2 linked regions of the Lepisosteus oculatus genome follow. The protein of the gene in region 1 interacts with the protein of each later gene in a pairwise test. Links are inferred from orthologs where the notes say so. Each region holds a gene or a part of one and is shown on either strand. Other genes may lie near its edges. The genes, in order: zc2hc1a and castor1.

The links.
Region 2: the proteins of zc2hc1a (region 1) and castor1 interact in binary tests that used the Homo sapiens proteins (3 or more experiments, as listed by UniProt). The two-hybrid records come from large-scale screens. The link is inferred for Lepisosteus oculatus from reciprocal best matches to the Homo sapiens genes ZC2HC1A and CASTOR1.

What each region holds. Positions count from the first base shown.
Region 1 is NC_090701.1:1,211,864-1,215,788, reverse strand, and holds the start of zc2hc1a (zinc finger C2HC domain-containing protein 1A), read left to right. Parts: upstream 1-1,038; 5' UTR 1,039-1,197; coding exon 1,198-1,327; intron 1,328-1,390; exon of another isoform or gene 1,391-1,645; intron 1,646-1,651; exon of another isoform or gene 1,652-1,793; intron 1,794-3,925.
Region 2 is NC_090717.1:4,660,182-4,664,106, forward strand, and holds the start of castor1 (cytosolic arginine sensor for mTORC1 subunit 1), read left to right. Parts: upstream 1-1,567; 5' UTR 1,568-1,767; coding exon 1,768-1,880; intron 1,881-3,925. UniProt on the Homo sapiens protein: Functions as an intracellular arginine sensor within the amino acid-sensing branch of the TORC1 signaling pathway. As a homodimer or a heterodimer with CASTOR2, binds and inhibits the GATOR subcomplex GATOR2 and thereby mTORC1.

The sequences.
Region 1 (3,925 bases):
GAATGTGGGTACACATTTTGTCACACAGGTGAGAGAATGACAATTTTGCAAAGGGATATCAAATCCGTTACTCTGGAAGAACCTCACAGGATACCAAAACTGCACACAGTGCAACAGTACAAATGGCAGGATTGCCAAGTGACAGATTCTTAGATCATTACGCCGCAGCTGTTGCAGGACGAGGATTGTGTCCAACAGACAGGCAGCCCTAGATTTTGACCTCTCCTGGAATGACCCTCACTTGCACCCTGCCCCTGTCTGAGGTAACACACATCCTGATGAAAGCGTATCTCTCGCGGTCTAATCAGTGGTCTAATTGCCTCATCAGCACTCAGCTGACGATCTGTCATCCACTCTCTGCCTCAGAGGAGCCTCTGTGGAGGTCTCCGAGAGTCTGCGATGACAGGGAGAGTCACAGCCCCAGAGCTGTGTCAGGTGAGGCAGCCACCCAAGGCACAGAGTGGGTCAGACGGGTCCCAACACCTTTCAAGAGTTTCTCTCTTGCCGAGAGCATGTGGCCACTGGGATGCTGGCTCTTTCGCACAGTCTGGGCCTGTCCCCCCGAGGGCAGGCGCAGTGCATGCCCACACTTTCCGGGCAGTTTTATCCACTGTCAGTCCCCCTGTGTGGGTGAGGCTCACGGTTGGCATATGGATTTAAAACCAGTCTAAAGGTTAATACTGGACCGGAACTGCCACATACAGTACACACCTCCGGTGAGGGGTAAATCAGATCAGCCAGTGCATCCTGAAACCAAGAGTGCAGGTACAGTACTCTGTGGCCTGTGTTCTCATGCTATCCTTCACCTATCTATCTTGTGGGAAAGGCACCTGTCACGAAACCTAAAATGACATGCTTGCAAAAAGAATTCCCCCGTCACCCAGTCAAGTTCAGAATTTCACTGTACACTAAAACATGGCTTCTCCTCGATCACCTATCCCTTGAAATAAGAGGGCCAGCGGCGGAATACTCCAATCTGAAACACGCTTCTCGATTCACAGAGAGAGAAAAAAAGAGACCTTGATATACATAAAAACCACGGCGTGCCTGAATCCGAGCCTATACCACCCAGCTACACCGTCCGCAGGCCTTACAGGAGGAGGACATGATAAGCGCGTTTCTCCGGAGCGGCGACGGCGACCCCGCTGTAAACAACACAAAGGACAGCACCAGCACACAAAGCGCACAAAGCGCACAATGCGCAGCGCTTTCTCTCAAGCGCACCGCCGCAGGGAAACCACTTTCGGCGATGGACGGACATCGCCCAGGCGCACCGCAGCTCTGATCGTCGCTGTTTTTGAAGCGGTTTCTCACACAGCGATTTCAGGTACAGCAACCACCCCCTCGCCCCTCCCCCAGCAAGATAAAGGTCGACTCCACGGAGGCTTACCTTATAAAACCTTGCGGATAACCAGCGACTGGGGCGAATATTTACAGTTCCAAAACACGAACGTACTGTACATAGCGAAATATAAATGCCATTATAAAGACACACTAGCAGTTACGTGTTCTGTGTATAGCCCGCACACACAATGTACAGCTGAAGGATTTCGTTCTGCAGATGTGTTTTCTTGGGTATCATGACGCTGAACCCGGTGAAAACGTTATCGCCGCCCCGGTCTGGCTGACCCCCTTGTAGCACGTACTGTACCTTTTAAAGCTCTGACAGTCCAGTCATTGCAACGCAGGAAGCGGATTTTGAAAGGCGGCCTCTCCTGTCTCTGTGTCGGGACTGCACTACCGAGAGCGCTCCTCTCCTGCCATTCTGGCTGTCTAATGATGTCATCGGGATTCCGGGATGCTCTCCCGAGGCGGAGGGAGGGAGAGGGAGAATATCCACGGCAGATTGCGATGGGAATGACTGCATGCGGCCTCCCGTGCTTTGCCTCGTCCTAAATATCTGTCAGCCCCCGCACATCTAGAAACTTGTGCGGCATTCCCCTACAATTTCCCTGGAAAGAGAGGTCTCGTCCTTTGTCACAGACTTTTTTTTTCTTCAATTACAAAAATAAGTATTCCGTCAGCAGAACCCATTTGAATTGCTCCACAAACTATTCACATGTAATGTTTTAAAACTATCAGGGTGTCTGTAGTATCCACCAAAAACGACCAACCACTTGCAAAGCGGAAATATCTCAGTTCTTACTATTTCTATTGGGGTTGCATGAATCGCTATGCAGGTTCGCATTGTAATCCGTATTTTATTAAGATTTTCTTTTATAAGCGTTCAAACTGAAATGAAAACAAAAACATTTGAGAGTGCAAGTTATTGTTTCGATTAGTGATTGTCTAGATGTCTGTCATTTCTCTTTGTTTCTCGCAAAAACTCTGCAACGATCAGACCTGAAACGTTTGACTGCGTCGGTTACAACCTGTTCACCCATTCCCATCTGATACCAGCTGGGAAACTCTGGGGAAAAGGGCTGTTACTGCAGAAACATTCAGAAAGCTTTGGAGCTTCAGTGTTGTGAATTTATTTGATCTTAAAACGTTTATTTTTTTCATTAAATAACGTGAAAACGGAAGTTGTGTTTCCCTGCGTCTTAGATTTATGGTGAAGTTCAGAGTCGGTCTTTGTGCTCCTGGACTTGGAACTCACAGCCTAACATTCAAGCGATACTCGCTTCTGTACTGTAATATTTTCTTAACGTGTGCTATTGTAGTGTAATATTAGGTATCTTAAACATATTGGAAGCACCTGTGAAGACCTCCGTCTTCCTCAGCTCAAAGCCCTTTCTCCGAGTCCAAGCGGAGACGCAGTCAACGCCGTGCAATGGCTCGCCATTACTGTACAAGCAGCCAGGGCTTCAGTTTATACCACCGGCTTCAGTTTGAACGTTTCGTGTGCTCAGGTATCGGAATGAGATCTGAAGCGCAATGCAGGCACATGTGGCAACGGTGAAAGTGACGTCGTGTACCAGGACTACATACAGACCCAGTACTGGACCCAGTGTGCACAGGACTGTATATGAGAAGGGCGTTCCTTGTTAAGTACCGTACCTGTACACAGTATTTTTCGGCACTCGGGAACAGGAGAAAGGTGATCTCCAGGCGTGTGCACAACCCGGAGTCCACCGTGCAGGCTCTTGCCTTTTCAGAGCGCCGAAGGAGCCGCAGCTCCTGTATATGAAGAGAGACCTCTTTATTCCTGCCAATACAAAGACAAAATTAGCAGCCACCGACAGCTGTGTTACCTTTAACACAGCCTTCACCATGAGATAACTTCGGCCAGTGAAACGCATGTGCGTACAGTATGTATCCTACAACAAACTCCTTATAGATGCTGTGCAGACTGTGTATGAACACACAGCACATGCAGTCCTCGTACGTTCCTTTCATCATTGTCAATCGTAAATGTAGTGCGTTTTAGGGGTTACTCTGACAGCTCTGTTATAAAGTGCCTACGCCGTTACAGACAGCCATAAGGACATAAAAACAGATTGAGGTACTCTAATTGGGAGAGTATCAAACTGATTCTCACTGATGGAATAATCGCCACAGTTTTAGAGATGCCTTTGTGTCCACGCCGGTTAGAATCACGGGCTACGTCTTCATTCAATGGACTGTATAGTAAGAAAGCCAATAAACTATTTGCATACTAGATTATTGTTTTCAACGGATCATGTACATTCTTCAGTTTGTAAGGCCTAAGGCCCCAATATATTATACCCTTAATTGAATTACATTAAATTAAATTCTTAATTTCGCCCGTGGGTTAAAGAAATATCTTTACAAATCATAACAGAAAAGTAAAAAAATAGAATTGCTATAACTTTAAATAAACGTACTTATTTCTAACAAAGATATACAGTATTTTCAACAAACTGATGTCCTGCATCCTGCATAACACATTTCAGATCATGCAGCGTACATAGTCTGTAAGTGCCTGCAAGCTGTTTAAGCCCTGTACTGTATCTATTGCAGC
Region 2 (3,925 bases), on another chromosome or scaffold:
TTCATATAACACTTTTAGGTTGCTATGCATAACTGAGGATAATGAAGCTTTAACTAACGGTAACAAACTCATTTGAAGGTATTAAAACCCATAAGGAATACTGAGGCCTAGATTATCCTTTCTTTTTTGTTTACTGTCTCAGTTGATTATAGATTAATTTATGGTTTGAACAGATGGCTCTATAGATCTCCCAGAGAACCATTCTACTGTCTTCTTGCACACTTTGTTTTTGAGCAGAGAAAGGGAAACAAAATGCCTGCAGCAGATAGAAATACTGATTAATAATAAACCAGACAAGTGTGTGTGTGGGGGGTAAATTTAAATCATGATGTGTGACATACAGTACTGTAGCTATTGTTACTTTGAGCGAGGTACTTAGATTTCTCTAGTAAAATGTCCAGCTGTCTACAGTACATTTTGTACTTTTCCATTGTATACAACTCAGCAAAATAACACAAATGTAAAATAATTTACTTACAATTTGGAAAGGACAATTTGTTTGCAGTGAGTCTACAGTGCTGTGTCTTAGGCATGAAATGGATAATAGGCATTTATTCTAAAAATGAACAGAGAAAGAATGTCGCTGTAGTAAATTAAAAAATATGCTCTATCAGTCAAAATGTAGTCTATTCTACTAAAATAGTATTAAAAGAGAACACTGAAACGTTTAATTGTATTCAACTATTGCATGTAGTGTATTGTCTTCAGTGGCTGATCGGGGAGATCAATATTTTGTACTTAATACTGTACATATCTTTAGCATCTTTTCAAAACATGAATTTATATCATTTATATTAAATATTGCAAAGGAAAGTAGATTGACTGTACTATATATGTTGTATATGTCAGATAGTATTTTTGAAAAACTGTTTCCCCCTGTATTATATAAATAAAACAAACATTGTAGTGAAAAAACAACAATATTTATTTAGCTCATTAAATAACATAGAGTGTGAAGGATATAATGTTTATAATGGAATGTTAAGATGTTCTCGCAGCAGGCCAACACCCTTGTTTGAACAAGGTCATCTGACAAGGCATGGTACGAACAGTATTTGGGTTTTGGCGTCGAGGACAGAACCCTGCAGAAAAACCAGAGAAAAGTTAAAGGCTGCTCGCAGCTTACTGTAACACTCGCAGGTGTCAACATCAAAGCCATATCCAGGTCACCGGGCTTAATACCCCCGTTCTATTAGCTTATGAAACTATTGGTTTAGTGAGTACAAATAAGGCGAAATAGATTTCTATATCCAGCACGATGAATACAGTAAATTATTTGAAAATGTCTGACAATGAATAGCTGCCTGGACTGACTCCTTTTTCACTCAATTCATTTTTTCTTTGCAGTACTGTAGTTCTTTATGAAGGACTACAGAACAAAACATGAAATTCAGCACTCTGTAACAGTACTGTACATGCACCGTTAACATACTGTGCTGCAGCTTGTATAGGGGGGATGACACAAAAAGAGCAGCAGCAGCTATCTCCAGTCCCTGTCCCTTTAAGTGCGAGGGGGCGTATGCAATTTCATAGGCCTGTCTTTTATTTAAATGTCTTTGCTTCGGAGTCGGATTGCGCTGTATTCTTATTCGCTGAATGATGCAAGACGGGGGATGGCGATCGGGTGCTTGCAGGGGAATGCAACACAACACTACTAGACCGTTGCAAGTCTTTAGAAACGGGGAGTCATTTCCAGAAGTCCCCCGCAAGCTGTGCTCTTAGTGACTTAGTTAATTTTAGGCACCGTTGAAAACAACAAACAAGAGCATGGATTTGCATATACTAGACCATAGACTGAAAGTGACTAGCATCTGTAAAGATGGGTTAATGAATTTCACTCACCCATTGATCAAACTCATTTTTCTTCGTAACAGGACGAGGTAAGGCGAAGAAAGACATTTTTTTTAACCAATTAAGTTTCCAGCTGGATGACATCAGTTGCTGGTAACATTTACAATATTTGGAAATGCAATGTTGCTACATGCCCTAGTATCGTTCACATCGAAATATAAACATAAGCATATCATCATCCAACTCTCTGTAGCTGATGGAAAGGCCTAACTGCTATAGTTTACAAGGGGTAGAGTGCTTAAAACGATGTGACCAGTAGCACACTGGTAAAGCAATATATGACACCCATGAAATTGATGAACGAAAAGTGTTATGCATGTAAATAGGGTCACTTTTTTAGTGGACGCGTGTGTTAATTAAGCGGAGAAGTTACCTTAAAGTATCAGGTGTTGTTTAATGCTTTGCAAATACTGCTTTGTCTAAATGCCAGGGATACCACTTCGTCTTTTTGTTTTAACTGATCAGGAGGATAACTGGCGTGTTTGAAAGTGTCATTTGTACAGGTTTTACTTCTTTATTTTATTCGTTTTTTCCCCTGCTTTGGTTACGTGTCGATAAGAGGGTTTGTTTGACTTGCAAGGACATGAGAAAACTTGTACGTACTGTCCTTTCAGTGTGCCAAGTGTAAACGTTTAAGATAATTTCTCTGTGACATCTGCCTGTGTTTTGTAACTTAGTCTATGGAACTGCAGAAGCACAGTATAGTGTTTTAAATTATTTACCGGAACACCTTAATTAGCGTTTGGAAAGCTCGAGTGAAACAACTAGAAGGGACGCCACTGACAAATCAGTAGAGTTTAGCAAACAGTACAGTATATAGACCGTTTTTGTTTTAAGTACAGACTGGACAAACCTATATGTCACGACTTGTTTTAACCCCACCTGACTTTAATATGATGGTGATGCAATAATGTCGTTCACAAAAGGATTAATTAATTTCTATAACTGTTAACCTAACTTTGAACTGCAAATATATGCACTCATCACAAAGTTGTCTTCAGCATTATTTATGTTTTACTCCAACGTTTTTTTTTTAAATGGCAAATGGCAAAACTGAGCTCTCAAAATCAGTGCGCTTTTATCATAATGTAATTTCTACGGAGTTTAGAGGGGATCTCTAAGCTTTCTCCTAGTTTTTAAAGGTTAACTAAGTTTGTGATTGTTATTGACCTTTAGTATAATTGTTGAAAGTTGGTTTATTTTTGGTCTACAAAAATGAGCTACGCCTTGCTGAACAAAATAAATTCAGATCTGACAGACTGCTGTTTATGTAAAAGCCAGCTACATCAGTGTCTAGCTGGTTTCTCCAGTAATACTCAAGCATTAATCTGGCAGACAGCACATCTGTTTGCTTAGTTGTTTTTCTGCTGTTTCAGGGGTGAACTCTTGCTTTCCAAACCTGTATATAGGATTTTTTTTTCTTCATAAAAATAAGTAATCTGTATATTGCAACGACAGCATTGTTAGGCGTTTCAGGAAATAAAGCGTGGACTGTCCTCTGTGTTGAAAGTATTCTCAGAAGAGATTTTGCTTTGTATCTATGTATACATTTGTTAATGGTAAACTCTGGGGGATAGGTGAAATTCTCCTATACAAAAACTTATTTAACTATTTTATTGATCATATTTAAAGGGGGAGACGGCTAAATCTAAGCCCATAAAACAATTAAAATATTGTAGTTATAAAAAAAGTCCCTGTCTGTTTTAAAGGTAGTGTACCTTGTACTCCACAAGGATCATCTGTTCATGAAAGTTTTTCTTTGTGTAAGAATTTAGTTGCAAAAATTCAACTTGGAGAGTTAATAATTAATGGGCACTGTATTTAGATTTTCCTGTCTTTGAAAGCAGAAAGCACAAACAGATGATGGTTTTAAGTCTAACATTTTGGAGAGACTGGGATATTTGCCCATTTAATGGTGATGGCTTCAGTTATGCAAGAGTTGGGGAGGGAAAAAATTAGAAATTATTTTGTTTTACAGCATATCGCCAGCTACTTCACTCTTTGAGCTTTGCTTTTGATCCTGAATGTGAAGCCTGCGGTTTTTAGAGCATGATCTTATGACTTATTCCATGAA